Arabidopsis thaliana: one gene and its partners. The protein of the gene in region 4 purifies or fractionates together with the protein of the main gene of each other region. This does not show direct contact. Each region holds a gene or a part of one and is shown on either strand. Other genes may lie near its edges.

Region 1 (7,793 bases), on a different chromosome or scaffold from region 4:
GGTCTCGACTGCTTCACTGATGCTCTCTATAGCTATCTCCAACACGGTTCCTTGTAGAGATTTAAGAGACTCGGTTGCAGCGCTTGTAAAATATGAATACAGTACTGTTTCAAAATATTCAAGCTGCAGCAGTTGTGATGAAAATTCAGAATTAGCAAATCACAAATCTGCAAAGCTTCTCTGCTTCTGTAAAAACAACTTTGTTTCTCATTATGAGATGAAGTTTTTGTTAGTGAGCATCTCTAATGATGAAAAGAACAAGTTACCTCAAACATCAGTTGGCAGAAACCATTTGCATCAATTGATCTTAGGTCACTTGATCTGTTTTCTTCCACAACACTCAGAAAAGTGTCGATTAGACCTTCGATCAGCACGCCAAGAATCTTGTCCAGGAGGGGTTTAGCACCAGCAAAGACCTGCAGTTTTATTTTCCGGTGCAAAGTTATTAGGATTTTACACTATGAACACTGTCGAGGAACACATTTTAATGTCAAAATGTCTAAAGAACCACAAAACGACCAATAATTTTTTTTCATGAGTATACCTCTGCATGGACAGCTACAAGAGTGTGCAACAGCTCAACAGCAGCATCTCGTATGCCCTGGAAGATTGGAGTAAATATTTAAGTAATTCTTTTCTTCATTCAAATCAAGAAGCTAATAGATATCGTTTCGCATAGATTTCTTACTTTCACTTGAGGTGCTGATCCCCATTGAATACCAGAGTCCAGCAAATAATTTGTGGCCGCTGTTCTGATCAAATTTGCCTGAACAGGTGAAATTCTCGGAAATTTAAAGTTCTATTTATAACACTTAGCAAAAGCATACATAGGCTAATATGGCTGGAAAAAAATTAATACCTTAGCAAAAGTGTAATGCTCGAGGACCTTCTCTCCGAGTCCAGAGAAAGACATTATTAGATCTTGAAGATCACTACTGTCTTCATTTTTGTCTCTGAATAAGTGAAAACACAAAAATCTTAGTTTAGTGAGCTATAACACCATATACAAAATCCACCCATGAGAACAGTATTTGATTATGAATCACATCAAATTTAACCGTTAATACCTATTATCCAGTTTGACTCATTTAAGTATGCACGAGTATGCCCAACTTGTTTACCACTTAGTAAAGACGATGTTCAGAAGAGCACTAATGACGTTTATTAAGCAGGGACTAACCTAGACTGTAACCATGTATATTTGAACTTGTTGTAAAGCTCTGAAGCAAGTTCATCTTTGCAGTAACCTATATTACTTAAGACCATCAACAACCGCCTGTGAGGATCAATTACACTTCCGTAGGTGTTGGCTGATGGTTCTTCCTGATGCTCATCAGAATATCCGTTTTTCCAATTATCTTGTCTGGAGGTGCTTTGGGAAAGATCAGCACCAATTTGCTCCAAGTGCGCTGGCATATGGTGAAAGCAAATTAGCATATCAACGTAACCACTTTAAAGTGTGCATTTGCCTGCATTCCGGTGTTTGCATGAGGATATTATCAAGGATGCTTGGTTAAAATTCGTACCAGCAAAATCCAGAAAGCAGTTCAAAAATGCCAGTCTAACGGATATTATGATTTCTTCAATTTGGGCAAACATATCTTCTGATTTGGCAGCTTCACTTTTGACAGACAGAATCATCCTGAAAAAGGTATACACGGAAATCAACAGGTTAACAAAGTAAACACTGTGGTATGAAAAAAGTACACATTTGTATATGCAGTTTCCTGAATAGCAATGAGAAGCATATAAGACCCCTTTCCTATCATACAAACATGGTACAGTCATTTGATTTTACATGTCTCAGCATAGAATTGGTAATCACGGTATGACAAGCTAGAATCACAATTACTGACTATTGGCATTTTGTTTTTTCTAATGTATACAGAAAAGACTAGACCTTGATGTATGTACTGGAAACATAGACGTCTGGAACTCCAAATACAACAAATAGAAAAAACTGGGGTTTTTCACTTCCACAGTGTAGTAAACCTCACAATGTAAATATTTTCTATATGTTACCAAAATACGGTTGAAACTTACAGATTGACTTGTTCCATGCCAGAGACAATAACTGAACGGAATGCAAGAGGCAAGTAAGAGATGGCATATGGAGATCTATTCCTTTCAAGAATAGAAACCGGGATCCACGTCTCCTCTTTTGATATTCCTTCCGTGGAGGCCCTCATCCAAGAGCAAAGCCTTTGGATATAAATCTTAGTGATTTCCGCCTGGATTTTTCTCAGTGCAACGACTGCCATAACCAAAAAGGTTATACAGCATCTTAGTCTACTTAAATTAAACAGCAAGCTCAAGCTTCAGAAGAAGTTCAAATACCAGCACTGTGGGGCGTTGACTCTTTGGCTTCAAAAGCTTGGCATGCTTTTGATACTTCGTTAATGGCATCACTCATAAATGGGCGGAGAATGCATGATTCATCAAAATCACAAAATGTGCTGTTCACCTACAACAGCAGTAATCAGGAGAAGAAAATATTTAGAGCCACTTTATAGCACAGATACCACAGGATTGTCCTTCTAATGTGAAGAAAAGTTCCAATGAAGAGGTCACTTAATTAGAAAACAAAGATAATACCTTTGCTTCATAGACAGAAATAGTCTTGCGTATCATCCCAGCAACTTCTTCCAAAGAATGAGTTGAATATCTTGCCTCTGTGACCTTCTCCTCAGCTTTATTGGCTGAAGTATCAGTAACTTGGGAGGACTAAGCAAATCAAAGTTAAATTCAAATCAAATGAAGAACTATTTCCAATTCAAGAAAGAAATAATAACTACAGAATTAATCTACTCTTGGGTCAGTATAGGGATCTAAGCAGAAAGAATAGCGGATACCTTGGCAAATTTTCCACTGAAAATAGATATAGCTGTTTTCCAAAACACAGGGATATGATGCACAAGCACAGCAGTCAATCTTTTGATGTATCTTCCCTTCAAAATATCAATCTCTTCGCTGGGGAATTCCACTGATTGTAGGTCAACTTGAACTGCATTATTTTCATTAGAAGAGGCGGTATCTGACTAGAGGATGAAAAAACAAGGCACGTTATCATCTAAAGAACTGAATATTGAATAGTCTTTTAATGATATATCATTCTCAATGCTAGACTCACATATGAAACGCCATTTTGTTGAATTTGTTGCCACTTTGCATCTGAGATGGCTTTCTCATGAGTGTCGTTACGCAAAATTTCCACCCTTGCTTCATGATCATATGTACATTTCTCAAGCAAGCCGTGGATTCTATGATTCTGTAATTAAAGAGCCAATTATGAAAATACACGAGGATTGCAACAAAAAGTGTAGGAGACATATAAATGTGCTAAGTTGAAACAAATGAAAGATTTTATAAGCTAAAAGTCACTCTGATACTCAAAGCAAATCTATTAGGAATCCAGATTCCACACAGAACATAGTAAGAAGTAGTAAAAGAGTGACATCTTCGAATATACCGACCTGAACATTTAGATAATGCCACACAGGATCAGATTCGGGTTCCAGCTCCAGCAAAAGCCTCACAGTGTTTTCCAGCTAAAATAAGAACAGACCTCAGATATCAAGACAAAAAAATAGACTGGAAAAAAATTTAGTCATTTTATTTAGTAGGTACAACAACTGGGAAAATGTAAAACGGGATATCCTAAATAAAAGTTAACATTCATGATGGCTGCAATATTGACATGATATCAGTAGTATGGTTAATGCATTTGGTGAATATTTGAATGAAGGATTGTTCAGTTTAATTACTAGTTGACATTAAAATAAAATGAATTATAACTGACATACACTTGTAAAGTCTATTTTCGGATCTTCCATAGACTTGTATAGTGTGCCTTTAAATTCCAGCATAACTTTCTCAACCTCCTCGAGTACACGCTTGAGTATATTAACCTGAAAGCAGCTTGTTTTTCTATATTGTCAAGAGCCTTGTTATGTAATTAAATTAAATCGTAATAAAAAGAAGGCTCAGTGCTTATAGGAATGTGGATAGGATCTGTCTCAAGAGAGTGTGATTGAAAATTCAGGCATACATGAGAAGGTAGAGCAATAGATTTCGCCTTCTTGTATTCTCGAACAGCCAAATCATATTCACCCTTGCTAATACTGCTACGAATGATACTGGGTAAATTGAACAGTGTCCGGAATCTCTGAAGCATTCCTTGGACAGACCTGATTTTCTCAGCTTGAGCCTAAATGTGATTTTGAAAAAGGCTTCAGCAAAATGAAAGAGAGTGACAAGCAAAAGAAGTAAATCAGAATCACACCAACCTGTCTCTCAAAAAGTGGCTCAAATGCAAGATTGGCCCTCGATGTCACACTTTTCATACAATTAAACAAATGAGTAGTTCCTGAACCTTCGGGGTCTTCTTCAATCCGCTTCAGTTTTGACTCAATATCTATTAAGAAAATCAGTGGTCAACATGAAAATGAAAGAAGAAAAAAACATAAATTATTCAGTTGGAAGTAATAATACATACCATCAATTGTTGTTTTACATGAGACGAAGCAGTCAAAATTGTCCTTCACCAATTGTTTCCTTTGCAGATTCCGACCCTTTAAGTCACTTTTCAAGCCAAGGGCACCAGCCTCCAAATCTGCTGCAGTCGTGTCTTGGTGAATACGGGAAAGAAACAGCTTCGGATCGAAATGATCAGAGAAGTAAACCAATTTTTCTGCAAATACTCAGAAAAAGATACATAACAATTAGACAACTGGAAATTGTACATCGAATTAGCCCTCCAAAAAATTGTAAGTGCTACTGTTCACTCGAGTTGTAGATATGGTAAAGAAAGACATACCGCGAAGAGTATTATCCACTTTCTCAGCTTTTGATGGGCTGCCTGACGACTCAGTGATTAATCTCAATGTCTTATTGTCTATGATCCTATGAAGTAGACAAATTCAGGTTTAGATATGTTCTACCATATCAAAGACAGAGTACAAAGCATCTGACTGGCTTCCATGGTAAGCAAAACGAAACGAGAGCAATTACCCTAATTTTAGTGGATCAATACATTCCATTCCACGAGGAAGTGACTGCAAACTAGTCAGAGCCACTTTCTTCCCAGGTGCAGGTGCTTTACCTTCTACTTTCTGAACCACGGGTGCTGTTCTCGATTCCCTCATATCACGAACCCTACGAGCAAGCTGCCAAAATGCCACCGGAATTTCAGTGAAAATGGTCATCTTTCCACTTATACATCCATATGATGCTATGGTTCTAAAATCACTAATGGCATGCTAATTATCAAGCTCTCTATATCAACTCAACACCAGAAACTATGGATAGCATTCACCGTATCCCACGAATGGTATTGTTCAGTGTCGTACAATTCAACAAATAGATCAATATATCGAATTCAAACTCTTGAACTTGATCGAACAAGCAAAGCCATAAGCATTCACTGATGAATCTCGCCACAAATACATACCTCAGCTTCATTAACCCGTTTCCAACAATCAGGCTCTCCTCCATCCCAAGCACCATCATCTTCCTTCCTCGCTCTTCCCTTCTCTCGTACATCGCTACCTCTTCCTCTCCCCGCACCACCACTAGAACCACCTATTTCCCTTTCCCTCTCCAAATCATCATCCCCGCTCGAAATGCTAAGCAATTCCACCTCCGACTCCTCATCCTCATCCATGGAAGGCTTCCTAACCGCCGCAGCAGACTTCTTCGGCGGAGCGGCAGCCGCAGCCACAGGCTTCTGCTGTCGAGGCTGCTGCACTAAATTGGCAACAGGCTTACGAGCAGAAGATGAAGGAGGTTTCTGATAGGTGAGATCTCTCTTAGCCTGCTCTTTCAACGCCATTTGAAGAAGCTCATCTTCGTCAAGATCATTGCTATCGCTCGACATGTTTCGGCGATTCAGATGATCGATCTCAGTCTCCTCCGCCTTGAGCTATAGTTAGAGATCTGAGAAGCTTTAGTTTCGATTTTGAGATTTCAGTTTGTGATTTGTGTGACAATTTTAATTTGTTTTTTTTTTTCTTCCAGAAATATTGATTTTTAGATTAAAAGGTGTAAACGTGGAAAAATCAAAACATGGCGATGATAAGAAAATAATATTTTCCGGTGTGGTGGCTTTTTGACCGGATAATTTGGTATGAAGGACAGACACACAAGATGTCAGTAACTCGATTTTATCCTCAAAAATGACTCTTAGATTAATTTAGATTATTTGCAAAAAATTATTACGTTGCGACGTGATTTGTCCTTCTCTGAGATATACATTTTGAATACTGGAAGCAATGAGTAATTCACAGAAAAGTTGTTCCAGTATTGACTGTGAACGAAATGGAGCCTCTGTTGAAAATGTCAAGATTCAAGAAGCTAAATGTTAGATTGACAAGGAACTCTTCGAGACATAATTCATTTGAGGCTCCAATAGTAGTTGAAGAAAATGAATCAAGAGTGCATTAAGGATAAGCCATAAGGAATGATTGATGATTCACCTTATTTCCTCAGAAACCAAAGGTGCAGGATCTGTTATGATTATGAGAATGTTCTGGATTCTACACTGGAAAAACCAGTTGATAGTTTCTCAAATAATAAGCACTAAAGAGTTGAATTCTGAACTTATGGAAGGACAACGTGAAGAGAAAATTGAGCGAGACACAGTTTTAATATCTGCAGTTAAGGAGGACAAAGAGGAAGTATCATCACACTCTGTACTTTTTGTCAAGCGCTTATCACCTGCTTCAGTGCAAGTACCAGTGAGCAGCACTGAAGCTGAGCTAGTCGTGTCTACTGGCCGTTACCTTGTTAAGAATATCGTTTCAATATCTATTGCTGAGAAAACTACCAAAACTAAGAGAGAAACTCTTATTTGCACTCCTAGATCTGAGAGTGTAGCTCTATAGAAGGTATATACTTGTATTCATTTGATTTGAGTTACTTTTTCAGTTTTATGGCTAAACTAATTTTGTTCTAATCCGTGTTTCTTTCTGATTTTAATCACAGCAATCTTGGAAAACTCAGTTGAATGTTGGAAGGAGATTCACTCAAACAAAGATGATGATGTGAAAGGTTCCTTAGAGAAGGAAGTACAAGCAGCAACTTTACATGGAAACTTTTTTGAACACAACACTTAGAACAACAGTGCAGAAGAAAGAATGGAGATAACTAAAGTCGGTTGTGCGAGTGTTGGTCATTGTCTGAATCTAACACCAGAAAAACTTATGGATGAGTACACTCAGTTGGAGCTAGAAGAAGCAGTCGGCACTAAAGTCAAGAGGCTCTTCCGAATAAATGAAGACAGTGAATCAAGAATTCGTAAAAGAAAAGCCACAAGGAATGGCTGAGGAGGAGGACTTACTCATACATCTGAAACCAAAGCTACAAAACATGTTATGGTTTTTTACACTAAAAGTTTCAGGTCATATTTCACCGGTAAGTAACACTCATCAAGAGGTGGATTCTGAACCTTTGGAAGGATAACATGAAGAGAAACATGAGCAAGACACTATTATGATGGATGTGATTAAGGAAATATGTATGTTGCATGGTATTAGTCGTAGATGAGTCCTTTATTGGAATTGAAACATTTGTTCAGTCTTTTGGTCGAATTACTGCTAGTTGTAAAACAGAAGAGTAATATGTCTATACAAGTGTGTAAATAGTACTCTTTTGTGCCAAAAGATTTGACTTAGTTCCTCCTCTGTTATCTTAATAGATTTTACAACTTTTTGGGTTGAGTACTGAGGCTGACCTATAAAACTTAATAAAACTTTTGTTTCATCAAAAGGCTCTCTAATGAAAGTTCCATCTGAGTG
Region 2 (7,543 bases), on a different chromosome or scaffold from region 4:
AGTCTTTCGAATTGCTGCAGGGACGAGAGAACACATGAAGCAAACACAAACGGGTGTACCCTTAACAATAAATCGAAAAGAATGGAAAAAAACGGGAGTTATGCTATTAGCTGCAAATGGGGAGAACCACTTACATAGTAAATTATCATGCTAATGTGGCGCGTACAAGCTTGTTCATATGCTTCCATTGCCTGGTCATAGAACTTGGCTAAAGTCGGCACAACATTAGCCAGGTCAAACAGGCTGCACAAACAAAATGTACAAGGTTAGGGAATAAGAAGACAAACCAAGAGAGAGAGAGTTAGAAAAGGACCTACCAAGTTTGAAAAGCAGCATAGTTTTCCAAAAGGAGAATATCTGCATATTTAGGATCTTGTTGGGCAATTTTCTCGAGGGTCACAAACAGTATGCTCACCTATAAAACATTAGGAGTCAGACTCTATCAGCTAAACAAGGAAAGAAACAAAAGAAATTGACGATAGTAAATGCAGAGACAATCTGAGATATACTTTACTTATATGTTGTTGTTAAGAATGAAGTCATGAGCTAATGGTGGGTTTATACATTGTAAGTGAACTAAGATCATATGCAATCAGAGACTGTCTATTATTGCTTACATGGTTTGTGTAATTTCATTAGTCATGTTCTATAAACTCATAAAAATAGCTGTACTCACAAATTTTGTGTACGCCTGATCAACCAAATTTCTAGATTGCCCTTGTATGTACTGTTCCATACGAGTAGCAAGTGCTGCAAATCTATGAAAATGAGATAACAATATTAGGAAAGCCTCATGTTAATACTATAACGGGTTCTTGGATCACCTATAGTCAACCTGAACAACAATCTAAATGGGAGAAATAGTTCAGAACCACAAAATTGACTGAAATTATAAACAGGGTGGACGGAAGTACTAACTGGTGGGGACATAAATAAGTATTCACATGGCACTTCAATGTATGGACTTCTTGATTACCTTGGAATATATGGCAAGACACCCATCTGTCTTACATTACGTTCATTTTTTTCAATTTGGTGACAAGCTTCATCCACAAACTGCAGTTAAAGTCAACTTGAATTGATTAGTAGGAATGGTATGCCAGGAACAAAAACTAAACAATCTCTGAGTAGACGGACTACATGGCTGAATTGCATAGAAATTCTCGACTCCAGATCTCCAAGCAAAAGGCGAACAAATCCTGCAGCATCAGCTTTCTGACCAGATAGATAACGTTCGGTTATACCATGCATTGATATAGACCGTAGGGGGTCTATTTTATATGCCCAGTCAACAACAGCATAGAAATCCTCCTGCGATGACAAGAACACAAATCTCTTATTTAGTAAGACAAATGAACGCTACCTCTAGGTTTTCACATAGAAACCTTATTTTGGGGGACATCTTACCTGAATACCATCAAGTAAATCTTGAAGAGATTCATTCAATGCCGTCAGGTCTGGAGAGTTTTTACCTGCAAAAATTGGAATATTGTTTTGCTTTCAGAACCATTAGACCTTATAATATGTAGCGAATGCTTTACTGATGGCAAGCAGTTTAAGTTTACCAGGTTTCTTGTCAGCTTCATCAATGTCCATGATCCCCAAATCATCATTATCATTACCATCGTCATTGTTGGACTGGCTTTTCTTATCATTGCCAGCACCTCCAGGAGGAGCAAGAGCAGGTACCTCAAAGCACATGAAGTGCGCAAAAAAGGAACTCTGTATTATGAAGCAAAAAAGAAACATGATGATTTAGTACATATATCAGTTGCATCTAAAGACCAAACAGAAAACCATTCGGTTGACAATGACCTCATCTACAAGAAGCGGGATGAATATTGTTAACATCTTGGCATAAGCATCTGACACTGCAGAGGTGTCAGTGTTTGCATTCTGACTAGAACCCGTAGATCCTTCTAGCCAAACAGTAGGATTTCGTGATACTTTTGTGCTTGCACGAAGCTCCTTCGCGAATTCACGAGCCTATATATTTTGAAGAAACAAATCTCTGGTAACTGAATATTTAACGCTAAGGAAGAAAATAAAATGTTTGCTGAATATCCACACATTAACATTCAGTACGTTATAGCAGTCTTTTAGTCAATTAAGTGTCCCAGTTAGTCAGCGGTCAAATTGATAAAGAAACATATATTTGTCCTCACCTCTCGACGAAGGAGCAAGTTCAGGGAGCTGCAGTATGCTTTTCTCAATGGTCCCAAACAATTCTTATTAAGACCCTGCAACAAGAAAGGAGACAAGCAATCAATGTACTGCATGGAGCTTTTAGCATGTCACCTAGCCATTTCTCGGTTTTACCTTTAAATGTTGCATAAGACGAGCATATGTTCTGCATTTGTACCGCAAATCAGCATGGTCAGGCCTCTTCAGCTGCCCTCTCTGTTTAAAAGATGCGGTGATAAATATTCAGAATTAGTCACTAGACTTCATATTGGTACGATGGAATTTTATAAAAGTAGTACCTGAGAAAAGTAGCTTTTGTCACTGAACTTGAAATCTACCAGACTAGCAAAGTAGTCTCTCAAGAACTCTGAAGCTCTCCTTACAAAAGTAGCTTTTAATTTTTCTAGTTCTGCTCGTTTCTCTTTTACCTGAAGAAAATACAGCAAGAGTATTACAAAAAAGTAGACAATAGTTAATGAATGTTACAGACAATTATAAATGTATTTTTCTATTCCCAAAACGTAATGTAATAAGCAAGGCCGATTTACTATAAAATTAGAATAATAACTAGAGATACCGAATTAGAAAGATCTAAGTGATTAGGCATACAGCTCGCATATTAGCATAGATCGGGTCTAAGTTGGGCACTTCAAGACCCCTTAAAGCTTTGGCTAACCACTCGCAAGCCTCAATATTCTGAAGCATGTCTGCTTCATCAAATGAGCCTCCTGTTAGGGATGCTGCATACTGCAATCAACAACACTTCTATAAGCGAACCAATTAGACAGAAGAGAAGTAAGCAGAAAAAAAGAGTGAAACAAACCTCAGAAGGCACACGCAGTCTCTCAATAACTTTATCAAGTTCCTCAATGAGAGCTTTATTGTTTACAGACTGCATCTCTAACTTGTTGTTTCGAATTTCTATCTGGTAACCACAAAACAAAAAAAAAGTGAGAACATGTGTCGACATATAAAGGTTTAATCAGTCCAACAAATATACTTGGAAATCAATTTCTCTTTCACCCCTACTCTTGCAGATTTCAGAAGTACTATGAAAGAAATTACCAACCAAAAAGAAAAAATAAAGCAATGTATGAGAAGAGTTTATTGACAACATACAACAACTAATTTCTCACTGCAGTGACATTGTCCTTATAATAAAACAAAGCAAAAAAAGATCATTTATAGGTCAAGAGTCCTACCGATTCAATGTCTTCCCTCATGTGTCTAAGTTTAATGTTGAATATTCCTAACCATTCATCCATGTCATCAACGATATTTGTTGCTGCCTCTAGTCCATTCAAAACCTGAAAAGCATGAAGATGATCATATATACAACAAAATTTAACACTCGCATCCCATGAACTGTCTAATAACAAGATAATCCAAAGAATAATAATTAGCAGAAAAGGAATTACCTCATCTACTAATGGTTCGCTTTCCAGAATTGCATGTACATTTGCCGCTTCAAGCGCCTGAAGCTCTCGTTTCAGCCTTTCAGAAAATGCCTCAGCTTCACCAATGCCAATCACATAACTGTATATGACAATTATATTAGTTGAGTGAATAATCTGACAAAATAAGTGGAATAGATATCTGCTTCCATTATCTTTTTATCCCCAGCAAGCTAGTTCTCAAAGAAACAATGCCAATAGTTTAAACTAAATTCAATCAAGAGGAAATATGCAAGGTACTGATTCTACAATTACTAATCATGCTGGACATATAAGCAATTCTAAGTTAGTCAGAAACCTAGTCTCCCAAGCTTAAGATTTAGGCGGACTCTTCTCTCTTCATTCCATATAACAAATACACAAGTAGATAAAAAAAACTCCTCCTTTGTAAGATATATACTGATTTTACACTTAAAAAAAAGGAACAAAATGGATTAAACAAATGATGAAAGGAACAGAAAAAGACATACGTTCCCAAGAGAGCCTCCATATCCTCTTCCTCGGCCTGAGAGACTAGTTCTTTCTCAACAGTAACTTTCAAGGCGCTTTCTGTTACAGATTCAGCAACAGGCTCCCCATCTTCTGTACTTCTTTGAGTAGTGACTACTGGAGTGTTATCCTAGACCAATATTATGAAACAAAGAAACACAAATTAGATAACTTTCTTATATGAAAAAGCACTCACATATCTGAAAGGAGGGGAAAATGACAATAACAATTACATACAAAAGCTTCTTTCGAATATAAGAGACTTAGACCAAAATTTAAAGTTAGAATAAGTTATAGTCTAAACCTTTGCCCAAAGGGCCATCTCGACAATATCTATACCAACAACTTTTGGAAGGCGGCCTAATACGTCTTTGCATATGTTCAATATGCAAACTAAAAGTCGGTTCCTACAATCACGACAGAGAAAGGTATGTATTAAATGAGGAAAACTACGTCAACAAAAATACCATCGCTTATCATGTATACTTCACATCTTGTAATAGTTAATATTGATGTTGCTAACTGCAGTACCTGTCATCAGTGTTGCGCATGGTCCACTGTGGAGGAGCAACACTTTGACTCCTGAGATTATCAAACCCCTAAAAGACTTTGCATCAGCAAAAGCAGTGGGAACATGGAAAATATTGAACAGTGTTTTACAAATTATTTAAGTAAAACCCCTAAAAGACTTTGCATCAGCTTTTGTGTTCCATCTCTTACACCACATGCTACGAATTATTTAAGTAATTATGCATTTCTTCTTGAAATCTTAGATACTAACCACTTCATCAAAATCTTACGAGGGTAAATGTGCATCCACTTGGGTCACTAGTTATGACTTCCACCTTTGACAGATGCTTGAGGTCATACATTTTAGCAGGCTGGATGAACAGAGAATTATAAAACATCATCAGTCAATCTATATTGATTTTTATCAATCATTTTTCTTCCAAATTAAAATGTTAAACCTTGTACGTTACTCGTGAACGTGTGTCTCACATGGAGAAAGAAAATGAAGATTACCTCCAGAACTCCTCCACTTGAATACTTCATGACTCGAAGAATTGCTTTCTTTCGTGGACCCTTCGATTTGACTGTAGAAAGCAGAATAACAAAAAGCATACTCAGTTGATTACAACTCTAAAGAACCTAAAACCAATTGGACGAGAATGCTTGAAACGTGGATCAGAGTAAACATATCTTCCACTTGAATCATAACAACACAGATTCTCCTCGAGTACACTAGATTGATTCACCTAACAGACACTACCAGAATCCTTTTTGTTGCTCAGGAAAACCTAATTGAGCTCTCACGAGTCATAAAATGGCCAAGAACAGTAGAATTTCATCGATTTAGTATTCAACAGATTCTCTAAATTCCATAATCACCGAATCTAAATGCTTAGAACTAGCCAATCAACGCGAAGAAGGTCGAAGTAATTAAAAGTGAAATGAATCAAATCAGAACAATCAAAAGAGAGAAGAAGAAGGTAAGGTTCTATCACCGGAAAGAGCGAGAACTCTGGGTTTAGCCATTTGTCGACCCAATTTTCCAGACTTGCCCCAAACACCGCGACTCTTGGCCACACGTATCGACATGACGATCGATTGCTTGGTGCCTTCGATTGCCGCCTCGCAAGCTCGCCGAAGCTCTTCATCGTCGGCGCTTGACTTGGCCATTGTTGTTGTTGCGGATCCAGCAAGGAGGTGATGACCGGTAGAAGAGAGAAGAGAAAAATAGTGCCAACAACGTGGCAATAAGCCTTATTGTAGTGCCAAGAAAGGTTGAATCTCTCTTTTGTTCCCATTTCTTTTCTTTTGTTTGAATGATTCATGATAGTAACAACGACATGTTCACAATTTCAAAAAGGAAACGAGCGCAATCAAACTCATTACAATAATCTAATGCACCAGAGATTGACCGGCGGTGGGTTGAAGTTTTCATTAGAAAGTGAAATATTTTATTTTAATTAATATTATTTATATATATATTTATACCACATGCGTATATTTTTTTATCAACAAAAATGAATTTTGTCTTCAAATTTTAAGATTTTGCGTATAGTTATATATCATTCTATATTAATATCAACTAAAACTTATTTTACCATGTAACCCTATCACGTGAAATTAAATATTATTTTATCTTTTTTTGAAAAATTTAAATATTTATAATATTTGAAATTTCAAAAAAATAATAACAACGATCTAAACTTTATAATTATATTTTTATTGTAATATTTAGAATTTCACTCGTAATATACTGTCTCGTATTAATATTATTATAAATATTTAAAACGTTTTATAGTATAACTTTTTAAAAGTTTTCAAATTTTTAATATTTTTAATATTTTTAAATTTTTAAAAATTCAGTTCTTTAAAATAATGATTCAGAGTAAACCGGATAACATTTTTAATTTTGGATGCTTCATAAATCAAGCTTTCGACTTATTCGTATTCAAACTTTTGGTTCTTTTTATAGTAAGATTTTGAATCATTGCCCAATTTCTTAAGTAATGTGGGACATTTTATACATTTTTTTTTCTTTATCGATTGAGTTATATATGTTTGTTTTTAAAAATTTGAATTACATGATATGCAACAACAAATCTAATATTTTATTAACTATATGTATTTTATATAAAATCAAATAAATTAGATGTAATAACAAATAAAAGTAAAAGAAAAATCATATATTTATATTTAATATAGATACAGAAATTTTAGAAAATTAGTAATTAATTGAATGTAGTTCAATAATGATAAGATTTAATTAAAAATATAAATTTAGACAAATATGTTTTAAGATAGATTTTGTAGAGACTAAATATGTAATAAAAGAATAAGTTAATTCAAGTATTTAGTGCAAACTAATAAATTATAAGTTTTTAATAATACAATATTTAGTTGAGATATAATTTGTAAAGATCTAAATGTTAATAATAAATAATAAAGAGATTTTTGGTCAAAAAGGCTACTAAAATTATATACGTAGATTTATCAATTTCAAACACATTATGTAGCCAAAAAGAGTGGTCTTCTGCCTACATAAGATTGCACTCCGTCCACCATTACGACTTTTTTGTTCCCATTTCAGTAAATTGGTTTGAATTTACGTGACAACTCCTTATTGTAGTTCCAACAACGTGGCAACTCATTATTGTAGGACCAACAAAAATTTGAGGAAAAAAACATTAAAGCAAGGGAAGAGCAAAAAGCTACACACCCAGATCAAAACAAATCTGAACGTTATGCAGGTTTTCTCTCTCTTCTCTCTCAAAAGTTTTTGAGAGAGAAAGCTTTTGGCCTTTCATTTTCCGACGATGATGATGTCGGATTTTGTTTCCGGCTATGTCCGGTTTTCTCTTTCTCGCCTATGTGCGAGATCCTCTAAACTATCTTGGCTTTTGTTTGTT
Region 3 (3,770 bases), on a different chromosome or scaffold from region 4:
GAAGTTCCTAGTTCTAAACCGTCACACTAAGACTCAAGAGTAAGCAAAACACCAACATTAGATTTTTAAACTAGACTCTATGAGCACTCAACCAAAAATAATTTACAAAACAATCAGATGATTACGAACCACGTCTCCAAAGACAGATGCCGGAACACTACCAACAAATGAAGAATCGACATAAAGATGTGAGAAATTGAAACCCTAGAATAAGAAGTCAAACCACCTTACACAGGAGTCAGATTCACAAGAACAAAAAAAAAACTAAAAATTACATGGAACGAATAGGAGACAAATTAAAACATAACAATCGTTGTCTTCTAGAACCTTAGAAGAGTGTGGATTCCAGACCTAATTCCCAAATCAGTGACTTCTTCTGAGTTTGGAAAGTTGGCTAACCAAGGCCGAGAAGAAAGCTCCACTAAACCAAACGATTTGGAATTTGGATATCGAGTTAGTTTTTTTTTGTAGTATAAATTTTTTCAAAAAGAGTTTTTCAAGTTTTCCCAAATGTACGCCTTTTTTAAAAATGATATGAAATGGAGATGCATCAGGAATTACTGTATATAAGATATCAACAAAAATTTACAACAGAAAAATAAAAGTCATTTCAAACATGAAACCAAGCCCTCACTGTTTAAAACAAGCACCACAAGGCTAAAGTGTGTCAAAAGAACAGCAAACAGAAGCCTGCAATGGGTTTTAGATTGATCAGACCCGAAGGATCTATCTTCCTTGAAAGTATAAAGCCAAGTACTCGAGCTAAATGCAGAATCAAGCCTTGACCCGAATCACGAAAGAGCCTGTGAGGACATGACAAGGATAGTTACCGAACTGAAGCAACTTATAATGACAGGTAATAAGCAATATTTGAAATAATTTTCTATCTTTCTTCCCTCCAATGTGTGATTTTGAGAATATAGAAGAAAGTGAAAGAATATAAGAATTTCGAAAACAAGCAAAGCAAGCTGTGAACTCACATGTGGGAAGGCTTGATATATCTGCAGAGACAGCACAAGGTATCCCCAAGTTGGAGAGGACACCTCTAATGATTCCACACGGGAAATAGAGGTACATGCTCACCGCTTGTGCAGCTTTGCTTTCCCCTGGAGTAGAAGGATCTTGGGTTTCATTCTCAGATGAAGGGTCAATTGAGACACGAGACAACCACCGGAACTTGTTGTCTTGTAATACAAAAGTACCCTGAAGAGAAACATTCCATCTGTGAATAACACACACAAGAAGAGTTTTGGTCTTTGTTCAGGTAAAATCCCAGTTATCTTACCCGGTGATTTGTCTTTAAATTATCAATCTGCTTCTTGAAGACCTCAGACCAGAAGTCTTTGCAGATAAACTTGATTGCCTCTAGATGGTCACTGAACCTTGGTCTTTCCATAGTGTACCTAACGACATAAAAAAGGCTGAAGTTATGCACAATCAAGTAAAATGCTAAATATCTGCCATCATACAACACTGTAAAACAGTTTTTATGTAGGCAAACACCTTCAGAAGCAACAAAACATGCCTCAACAGACTAAAATCATTCTTCGTACACACACACTATAACTAATCAGGGACTAAGAGAATCATTCTTCTGAGACAACAAGAAAATTTCCTAACCAAAACATTGCACGATTAAATACAAAAATTAGCCACTAGAGCAATGAGAAAAAAACTCGAATCAGCGCCATATATCTTCCCATCTATCACATTCTCAGCCAATTACACACGAGAAACGATAAATCCAATATCAAAGAGAATCATTGCTAACGATATACATTCGCCATCATCTTCAGATCTACAACTAATACTAGCAACCTAGAGATACAATGATCAACCAGATCGAAAGAAGACGATGATCAAGTGTAAAACAAACCTCTCGGAGAGCTGGTGGCCGACCTGATAACCAATGGCCTCGATCCTCCGAGCGGCGAGTTCCGGCTTGTTAGCATAGAATCGGCCACTGTACATCGCCACCATCTCCATTAACATAGTGTCTACACAGCTCTCCGCCACTTCTCTCCCCATTTCTTCTCTCTCTCTCAGACTCTTTCCGTCTTCTCTCCACCGGTTTGGGGCTTATGCAACGAAGCTCCGATCTATTAACTTGTAGAGTATTTACATTTAAGTCCTTAATAGTTTTCTATTATTTCTGATCTGTGACTTCATTTTTTAAAGAGTCATGATAACCTTAATCTCTGACATTTAAACCGGATCGTCTTGGTTCAATTTTCCTTCAAATACCCGATTTATACAATTATTTCAAGTGAATGGAAATTACTTTTGGTGTGCTGAATGCTGATCATTTATGGTTAAAAATCAATTTTACTTGTATAATATGAGATATAAATATAAATAAATAAATCATGATTATTGAATAGGACTTTTTTAATATCTTTTTGGTGGGCAAAAGAGAGACAATTGTCTCCCACGTTTTCTAATTTAATTAAAAAGAATAACACATTATTGATTATTAAATAGCACTTCAAAAATTTACATTTCATAAGATTGATTTTGAAATTAGATCAGCTTGTAATAAGTCTTTCAAATTTAAGATACAGAATTGAAAAGAATAATATTTAAATTCTTTAAACATCACATGTCCAATAATTAACTCTTTAAACATCACATGTAAAATCAGTTAAAAATAAAAAGGATGAGAAAAATGATAGTTTTTTTTTTTTGTTTTAGAGTGGAAGTGGGAGAAGCGATGATAATTACCTATAATACCCTTTAACTTTTGTGTAATTACTCATGTTTGCGTCAAGTGTATGGATTTGGTCGCCAGAGAGAAGAAGAAATATACGATTCATACGAATTCTGTATCGCAAAAACATCAAATCTCGAAATTGAGCTCCTTTTCTGGAACTAGGGATTGCTTTCCGCTCCTTGCGCTAAGTCTACTTGGTTTCTGATTCGTACAATTTGATGAAATGCGAGTGCTCAGCGAGATTGCGGAGTCACCGTTCGTGATTTCTCGGCTAAGCCCTGATTCGACGGCCACCGGAGGGTTTATCGGCGGATGGGTCGGGAAGTGTCATGGGTTTCTTCATAACACGGTTTTGGTTTTAGCATCTATTCTATTCGTCGCTTACTTAGCGTACGAGGCGAAGAAGAGCTTGTCCAAGTTGTCTAATCGGAGATCTTACATTATGATTGCCTATTATGGTTTTCTTTGGCTTGTTAGCTTGCTCAATCTTGCTTGGTGTTGCCTTCAGGTTTGTTAAAGTTCTCTTCTTTACTTCGATTCATTTCACAAGTAACTCATACCTATGTTGCGTGTAAAGAGATCAGAACTTAGATTGAAGAAGAATGCTTTTTAGAGTGTTTTAGGCTCTGTAAATGTAGAAACTTTGCGATCTTATCAACATTGTTTTTATTCTACACTGGTGATTAGAAAGCTTTTGTATTTTGTGTAAGCTATTAGTGTTGATTTCTTGGTTAGATGCTGCTTAACAGGAAATGTTTTACCTGATTTAGTCTTACTCCAGATTTCGTTTTGAATTTACTTTTCATGAGTTTAGGCATGGGAATGCACTCCGGGGAAAGAAGTTATTTGGAATTTGTTAACTTTGTTCACAACATCTGGAATGTTGTTTCTGGAAGTAAGCTTGGTAGCCTTTCTCTTCCAAGGAAACTATGCAAGCGGTGCTGAAGCATTAACACGAACTTTCCTCATCTCGGGGCTTGTCATTGGTCTCGATTTGCTTCTCAAGGTAGATTTGTGTTCATAACTGTTAGATACACTTTCTGATATATAGATAGATATA
Region 4 (7,704 bases):
AGGACAATCCTCTTTAGCCAAAGATACTTTGTGTCAGTTTTTTTTTGCTTTAAATTAATAATCGTAACTATTTCTAAAGTAAATTATTGTATTATTTTTTAGTTATTGATTAATCCGTAAGGCCACTAATACACGACATACGAGCTTTGGGGAAACTTCACTGCCTTGTTTGATTATATCAATGAATGGTATTTATTTGACGGTGAAAGTTATGTCATTGCTCTGTGGACCTTTTCAATACACAATAGGGAAGGAATTCATGGTTAAATAGTTTTATTTTTGCTAATATTATGCTATAATCGTTTTATTCTTTTTATCACTGAAAGTGATCCCACTGAGCAGAGTACAAACACTTACTTTGAGAAAAGTAGTCTCAGAACCGAGGCCGTAAAATTCCAAAAAAGCATAGTCTATGCATGGTGGTCATAAGATGACCCAAGGTAAATACAGAGACAAACACACAAGCAATTATAGAGATATTTATAAAGACCCATACTTAAACCCGGAACTTATAATTGATTCTCGAGAAATCAACTAACAGAGCAAAAAACAGAGTATAAATTATAATGCCAAGACCTGATTTGGTTAACGAATCACAGTGCACCTCCAGCTACACAGACATGAAAAGGCGGTCCACGACAGAAGATGGGTTCGTTTGGAGAAGCAGTTCCTGCTCGTGCTCTGAGTACATTGTTAGCGTCTTCAATTACAGCAGCTGCTACCATCGTGTACTCTCCTGGAACAAGGAAGAAGAGTGAGAAACAGTGTCTTGCTTCTTGCAGCGGCGCTACTTCCATTGAGATTCCACTAAGAGCACCTGACAAAAGTATAAGCCACCTTTTACATATCTCATTGTAATACACACGGCTATAATGGCAGCAAATATCTATGTTACACAAATATTTATTACTTAGTGACAGGAATCTTACCAGCCCAGAGGACAGTGGCATCAGCTCCTTCAGTGCAGTTCTGTCCAGCTACATCTCTGCAAGTAACACTTAGATTCAACTTGATAGCTTCGCTAGTGTTATTGCGGACCAGAACCTCCATAGGAGTGACTTCATGTGACAGAACAGATCCCTTTGAAAATGGGGACTCAGCCTTTGTCTCAGGATCCTTCTCCAGACCGTTTCTGACCAGTCTGAAACCAAATGTTAGCGGATCTGGGAGCAAAACATCCATCACAGTCGTCTGGAGAGCTGTCTGAATTGCATCCTTGATGTCCAGTTCTCCTGAGCTGTTCCTTCCTGATTGCCACCGAACTTTTATCTTAGAGATGAGATTCTTGATCAATGTGTTTATCTCAGCTTTCGTGTTCTTCTCTGAGAAGCTCGGATTTCTACTACTTGAAGGGCTACCAGGTGGAGGGTCCTTTGTGAAGAATGAACCATCAAGAACCGGTAGCTTAAAATGCTCCAATGGAATCAGTACCCTAGCAGAATAGTCCCGGTCGATTCTTGTTTTCGGGTATTCATACTCTGGAGAATCTTGTACTGGTGAAGAATCATCTTCCTTGGCAGAGTTTTCCAGCTGAACGAAGACGCTGATTTCAAAAACAACATCTGTTGGGTTAGATAACTCAAGTTCAAGAAACCGTAGTCCCCAGCTTCCCCTAAAGGGATTGATCTTGACAAGGCTGTCTGCATTGCTCTCTCTTTCAATGTCTTCATCCCGAAGGTTGTCACTCACATGTGCAGGGATTTCCATGGAAAGCAAACGAGCTTTCACAAACGACAAACCTTGCAAAACACAAATTTGTAAGGGAACAACAAGCCGTCTGCCCGGTGGCACGATAGATTCTTTTTCTTGGGAATCCCCATTGTTAGACAATGGCCCTGCAAAAATATGAATACAAAAATGCTTTTAGTAATTAGTCATCGTGAGGATACATGAAGCACTGAAAAAGTAAGATACATAGAAACATACGTCAAGGAAGAAATGAATACCTGCGTAGTGAATAAGCAATGATGGACTGGTTCCGTCTTTTGGTCTTCCTGTGTTACCCGCAGCATTCCTGCCACTGCTCATAGTATTGTCAGAATCAGTTGGACCCACATGCCAAGCTTTTAAAGTCACAGGCAGAGTCACTTGTGCCCCAGGTTTCAAGGGAAGAGCAGACTGTAAAGCTTCATCTGCGATCGAGATAACAGCATCCTGATTCTTTCCAGAGAGCGAGACATGTGCCTGTACTATTGGAACTGTGCCAGCATTTGCAAAATTTATACACACCTCCCGAATTTCACCTTCATACAGAATAATTGCACCATCACCACCCACAACATTAGCCACAAGGAGGGGCAATGGAGGAGCAACTGATATGTTAGGAACAAATACATGTCGTAGCTTTGCAGATCCGCAGGATCTGAAAGGGTCAGAAAATACAAGTCCTTGTGCTGCTCCAAGAAGCAGATTGTCAACATCCCTGAACACATGTTCAGTGATTACACCAAAGCAGTGAACTGTGCAGCCTGGAATTGTCACTGGTCCTACAGCTGTTGGAATACCAGATAATGTGATCACTTTTGCAGAGTTAGGGGGAATGTCCACACTGACAGGAAACGCATCAAAGTTACTCGAGTGAGCTGAGAGATAAATACTATCAATCCGCAAATCGAAGCAACAAGGATTTGCTAACTCCACTAAGACCTGAACTGGTTCACCGACCACCCAAATCAATTCCTGCTTGCTACTTTCGTTGGCATCTCCTTTGCTGAAAGGAGTGTAAATAAATGGCCCAGAAGGAGCAGAGCCTGTCCACCAATCTTCTCTTGCTGGATTGCGTTTTACGATGTCCACTTGGGAGGAATGGAGTGGGAAAGAGAATAGCCTGAAATTTCATTAAAATAATCATGCTTAGAAGAACCATTAAAATTTGCCAAAACATACACAGTTTTGCCAGAGTCAGCTAAGAACCAAACATGGAACACATTCCTGAAAATAAACACATATTGGGCATATATGAAGCCCAAGAGATGGATTAAAAGAGATTATTACTTATTTTTCTGATCTCGTTGCTCTACTTAGAGTGCTAGGAAATATAACATGACCAAGTTAGGTTGTTTCATGATGGTGAGAGTGCACAAGCAAAACATCTCTGAGAGCAAAAAGGTTGACTGCTGATAAACATACCTTACAAAAGGCAAGGCAGGGTCAGCACAGCGAGTTCCAGAAGGTAATCTATCCGCTGAATTTGCAAGGGAATTAGCAAGTCCATTTTGACCTGAAGGTGTAATTAGAGGATAATGCCACCTCAGAAGCCTAGCTGCAGCACTCCATGCAGCTAAGGGATCTCCAGCACGAACAGCAGAGAGGAGTATCTCCCTAAGCACAACCATCTGCAAAGTGCTCCAATGGGACTCGAACAGGGAGACAATGGAATGATGATGCATTTTCCCAGCGTCAGGTAGGCGCCCAGTTTCCTTTACCAACAAACACAAGAGAAGATACAATATATTATCAAAGTATGATACATGGATAAATACCAAGATAGTGAAAAGTGATGATAACAAAAAAAACTCCAGAAAACCATGCTCAATCAAACACAAGAGAGGAAAAATAATGCCTATGCTGGCAAACTCACATTGTTAACCGACACTTTTGACATGGATGCCCTACTTTGAATTCTGTATGCATCAGTTGTCATAGAGAGAACTTGCATGGCACTGATAGCAGCCAATCGATTGTCTTGCTGCAAATACAATTGGGCGACCTGCCTACAGAAGAAGGCTGCTTTCCGTTGATAACCAAGGGCTCCAAATAAACGCGCTACTTCAACATATAATATGAGCCTATCACTGGCATCAATTAAAGACTTTGCACCATCAGCTGCATTTGTTAATAGCTCTACTACTTCCTTAGCCAGTTCCCTCCTGCACAACACATAAAATGACATTGTAAGAATGATTAAGATCAAAGATACCAAGAAAAAAATGAGGATGCAACCAGAAGGTTAAAAAAACATAAAAGCTGCCACAACCAGAGAGTATCATTTCATACTAAACGGAAAACCCATGTATTTTAGCTTTTTCAAAACGTAATAATTATTCTTTTCCCAGCTAACATCACCATCAATCACAAAACATTAACATACAGCCATCCTCCACTAGGCCACTTAATACTTAATAGTAATCTCAATATATTGGTATTATAAGTTGAATGTTGCAGATAGTTTTAGAGGATCAAAGCCACACACACACAAGATCCCATGAGTTTATATTTAAATTTTAGTAGCGATATAGCTTCCTACTAGACAAAAATACCATAGCAACCTTAAACTTAAGCAGGAGACGGCAAGAAAGGAAACCACACCATGATAATTTAAAGAAATAGAGAGCATACAATGATACCTGCAAAGGAATCTGGCCAGCTTAAGGGTAGCTTCGAGTTCAAAGCTTAGGGGCGAAACTCTGCAAGGAAGAGAATTGATTGCTATTACTTAAGTTTATCGAAGAAGAAAGCCAAACAGGTTGGTAGAATTACCTCTGAGCAATTTCTTGAATAAATGACTTTCTGTAGTGCAAGATAACATTAGTGTATCGATATCTAACTTCATCTTCTAAAGCCACATCACGTTGACCCATCCGATCTACCTAATATTAAGAAAACGGAAAACTAAGATGATTGCAAACTTAATTAAAGAGGGACAGATGAGAGCAATTTCATAATCAGTGCACTTTCGATAAACAGCACATCACTATCCATGTTTTTGGACTATAATACTATTAAAAATGTAAGAACAATGCATTTAGAGATATATTTGCATAAAGCCTTACCAGTAAGGCACAAACACTGCCTTCCAAGGCACCGGCATACCAGAAGTAATCTCCAGTCAATCTGGCCAGTTCCAGAGCAGTAGAATAATGAGCATTGGCATCAACAGGTGAACCAGCCAACAAGGAATAGTCTCCTATAGTTTTTTGTGCACGTCCCAGCCTACGCTTTTTGGCCTTAATAACCTGCATTAAACAAAACTAGTGAGCCTAGAAGACTATGCTAATAAGTTATAAGCTTCCAGAGGAAGAAATGAAACGTAGACCAAATTATAGGACACCTAGACATAAACCTCCTCTGAGTTGAGACTAGCTTGGGAATCCAAAGGCGTCTTCAAAATTGTGCCAGCAGATTCTGCCTGAAGAACCCACTTCTCAAATTCCATTAACAGCGAAGCGGCAATGTCTTGCATCATTGTTTGTAAATGAAACTCCTGAGTTTGCTTGTCAGATGGAGGAAACAAAATCAAATTTTCACCCTTCTTGTCTCCATCTTCAAGCTGCAAAAGACAGTACATTGTTCAGTAAATCGTCAATCTAACGCATCCATAAGCAAGTAACTAAATCACTGGTACAAAAAATGGACATCACTATCAACTGTAGAGACAAATCAGAAAAAAGCTAGCTAGATCCATCGGCATCGAGCTAAGAATGCCATAGCAGATAAGAAGCATGGAAACTAATATACTTACTTGCGAATCGCCAGGGGAGAAAGCGAAGCAGCGCCGGACAAGAGCCGAGGAATAACTCTTACAAGCGACATTGAATTTTTCAGTGACAGAATCAAGATCAGGGGACGAGGGACAGTGGCAAAGGCCGATCACGGCGAGCATCTTCCGATTAGACTGAAAATCCTCCCAAGGACTCGGAGGAGAACCACCAAGCACAAATTTGAACCGGAGAGAGCCGGAATCCCACGGCTGATTCGTGAATGGAGATTTCTGATGTTCAGTGTAGAAAGAGCTAATAGCTGAGAGCGCGATCGTGTGATGACGGAGCAGCATCGAGTGGTAGTCCCGGAGAAGCGTCGGCGGAATAGTGCCGATCGGAAGGACGGCGATCCGAATGATCGACAAAGTCTCGATACTGACGTCAGGTTCCATGGCGAGATCAGAGAAGGAGAGTGAGGATCTTTCGGTGAGCGTGAGTGCACCGGATCTGAAGGAGACGAAAACGAGAAAGTGTTGAGAGAGAGAACGTGGTCTGTTTGGGTACAGGTATTAAACTATTCTTAGTTAGAATTAGACTATCCGGGGTTAAACTCTATTCATATAACCAAACGATATGGTTAAATTCGCGATTATTAATACTCTCACTGTGAACGAAACTTGGGCGAAATTGAAAAGTTTTGGCGTTATGGAATCGTCCATTGAAGGGAGCTCCGAGTCAACTACTGTCACTACTTCTCCTTCGCGTCGTGTACGAGAACTTTTAGCTTTGTGTTTCAGTGTAAGCTTTCTCTCTTCTTCTTCTCCTCGTTTCGGGTTTGTGTAATTTGTTTTCTGGGTGGAATTTCTAGATGCTTTGAGATCGATGAATACTTAGCTGTTTCGTGATTTTTGGAGCTCGAATGAAAAATTCGCCGCTAATTTTGTGATTTTTCAGTCAGTTGAAGAAGCCGGAGGATTTCAAGACTTTGAGAGTTTTGTGACAGAACTTGTCAGCTGTTTGGATTCTTTGTATGAGAACGTAGCTTTGGATGCTAACAATGAACTGGAGAACGATGTTATTGAAGAAGTATTAGATGAAATTTTGAAAGTTTTATCATCTCCTCAAATGGATCAGGTACTTTTCAGTTTTCGAATCGCTTTCAAAGCCAAACGGAAGGATTTTGTTTAGAGAACCAAGCTTATGATTTTGTTCCCCGATTCATTTTATTACAGGATGTTATAGATGCACTGTCATTTCACTTGCCAAAAGTAACTTCCAAGTTTGCAGACATATCAAGCAGATGTTTACAGTTAGTTGAGGAAATCGTTGATCGGTTTGTGGAAGCATGCAATCCACGGGATATGCTTTCAATTCTTTGTGAGGTAATTGATCTGGAATTTCTTTTTCCTTCTTGGTATTTGGCATAAGAAGATTACAAGTTCTTTTTGATCACCTTATGACTCTGAACCAGGCACTCGATGCTGCACGGTGCTATCATTCAGCCTCCACTTGTTCTACTCCTTTATTGCATGGGCTCTCTAAAGGTACCAGTTGAAGATTTCTCGTTTTCAAGATATTTATAGACTCCTCTCATGAAAGTGAATTTTAGCCTGGCACCTGCAGTTTTAGTAATACTCTTGCTTTGATTGTACACAAGTATGAATATCCTAAAATTTATAGACTTCTCTCATGAAAGTGAATTTTAGCTTGGCACCTGCAATTTTAGTAATACTCTTGCTTTGATTGTACTTAAGTATGAATATCTTAAAGTTTGTGTTTGAATCCCTAACTAGTTTTGTTACTGAAGATATTAATTTAGTCTTCGTGAACTGAAGCAGTAAAAAGTTATTCAAATTTCCTGGTTTCAGTATTTATTTTGATCCAGAGGCGTCACTACGAGCAATTAAAGGTTGCAGTTCCAATTGTCCTGAACGTTTTGAAGGACATTTCATTGGAAACAGACGTGCAAGTTGAAGATTTATTTGATAAGGCTCTAGGCATTGCCTCTTCAATTCGAGACGTTTCTTCAAAACTGGTCTGTAAGTTTGATAAATTGGCAATTAGGATTCCCTAAATCACTACCCAAAGTGTAAATTCTCTAATTTGAATATTCGTTTTGCCTGATTTGATCTCTTTTCTTTGTTTTACAGAATAACGAAGAAGAAGCAAAAGTCCGTTGTCTACTTTGTCTCTATGTGATACAGATAACGGTTTGTACTTGATTCCAACTTTGTTTCGATATCATGGAACTTTTCTGACTTTTCTCTTTTATTATGAGCATATA

Evidence for each region.
Region 1: the proteins of TRS120 (region 4) and SEC5A purify together in Arabidopsis thaliana (affinity purification with mass spectrometry, with the first as the bait; one study listed by BioGRID). This does not show direct contact.
Region 2: the proteins of TRS120 (region 4) and SEC3B purify together in Arabidopsis thaliana (affinity purification with mass spectrometry, with the first as the bait; one study listed by BioGRID). This does not show direct contact.
Region 3: the proteins of TRS120 (region 4) and AT3G05000 purify together in Arabidopsis thaliana (affinity purification with mass spectrometry, with the first as the bait; one study listed by BioGRID). This does not show direct contact.

Annotation. Positions count from the first base shown.
Region 1 is NC_003070.9:28,846,095-28,853,887, reverse strand, and holds the start of SEC5A (exocyst complex component sec5), read right to left. Parts: upstream 6,018-7,793; 5' UTR 5,876-6,017; coding exon 5,450-5,875; exon of another isoform or gene 5,166-5,449; coding exon 5,011-5,165; intron 4,903-5,010; coding exon 4,817-4,902; intron 4,691-4,816; coding exon 4,496-4,690; intron 4,415-4,495; coding exon 4,287-4,414; intron 4,208-4,286; coding exon 4,049-4,207; intron 3,909-4,048; coding exon 3,804-3,908; intron 3,549-3,803; coding exon 3,474-3,548; intron 3,269-3,473; coding exon 3,131-3,268; intron 3,039-3,130; coding exon 2,853-3,038; intron 2,725-2,852; coding exon 2,596-2,724; intron 2,465-2,595; coding exon 2,338-2,464; intron 2,255-2,337; coding exon 2,044-2,254; intron 1,643-2,043; coding exon 1,527-1,642; intron 1,410-1,526; coding exon 1,181-1,409; intron 954-1,180; coding exon 860-953; intron 767-859; coding exon 689-766; intron 602-688; coding exon 545-601; intron 417-544; coding exon 267-416; intron 124-266; and 1 more. Other genes in the region: AT1G76840 (uncharacterized protein), read left to right, coding at 6,600-6,867, 6,982-7,047, 7,126-7,322. UniProt on the Arabidopsis thaliana protein: Component of the exocyst complex involved in the docking of exocytic vesicles with fusion sites on the plasma membrane during regulated or polarized secretion. Involved in polarized cell growth and organ morphogenesis.
Region 2 is NC_003070.9:17,465,015-17,472,557, reverse strand, and holds the start of SEC3B (exocyst complex component sec3B), read right to left. Parts: upstream 6,024-7,543; 5' UTR 5,808-6,023; coding exon 5,633-5,807; intron 5,222-5,632; coding exon 5,151-5,221; intron 5,009-5,150; coding exon 4,928-5,008; intron 4,727-4,927; coding exon 4,659-4,726; intron 4,535-4,658; coding exon 4,432-4,534; intron 4,258-4,431; coding exon 4,109-4,257; intron 3,721-4,108; coding exon 3,603-3,720; intron 3,492-3,602; coding exon 3,387-3,491; intron 3,110-3,386; coding exon 3,008-3,109; intron 2,932-3,007; coding exon 2,794-2,931; intron 2,613-2,793; coding exon 2,484-2,612; intron 2,401-2,483; coding exon 2,320-2,400; intron 2,241-2,319; coding exon 2,166-2,240; intron 1,987-2,165; coding exon 1,816-1,986; intron 1,723-1,815; coding exon 1,566-1,722; intron 1,473-1,565; coding exon 1,408-1,472; intron 1,312-1,407; coding exon 1,141-1,311; intron 1,057-1,140; coding exon 977-1,056; intron 759-976; coding exon 677-758; intron 416-676; and 5 more.
Region 3 is NC_003074.8:1,386,670-1,390,439, forward strand, and holds AT3G05000 (Transport protein particle (TRAPP) component), read right to left. Parts: upstream 2,163-3,770; 5' UTR 2,029-2,162; coding exon 1,877-2,028; intron 1,404-1,876; coding exon 1,286-1,403; intron 1,204-1,285; coding exon 981-1,203; intron 804-980; coding exon 775-803; 3' UTR 506-774; downstream 1-505. Other genes in the region: Cand2 (Protein of unknown function, transmembrane-40), read left to right, coding at 2,934-3,218, 3,525-3,716.
Region 4 is NC_003076.8:3,493,500-3,501,203, reverse strand, and holds TRS120 (TRS120), read right to left. Parts: upstream 6,010-7,704; 5' UTR 5,873-6,009; coding exon 5,462-5,872; intron 5,270-5,461; coding exon 5,063-5,269; intron 4,956-5,062; coding exon 4,773-4,955; intron 4,590-4,772; coding exon 4,480-4,589; intron 4,407-4,479; coding exon 4,347-4,406; intron 3,870-4,346; coding exon 3,581-3,869; intron 3,420-3,580; coding exon 3,130-3,419; intron 2,828-3,129; coding exon 1,947-2,827; intron 1,836-1,946; coding exon 930-1,835; intron 818-929; coding exon 594-817; 3' UTR 259-593; downstream 1-258. Other genes in the region: ALF4 (aberrant root formation protein), read left to right, coding at 6,054-6,218, 6,375-6,554, 6,653-6,802, 6,892-6,964, 7,289-7,455, 7,571-7,630. UniProt on the Arabidopsis thaliana protein: Specific subunit of the TRAPP II complex, a highly conserved vesicle tethering complex that is required for the proper transport of proteins in post-Golgi trafficking pathways to the growing cell plate in mitotic active cells.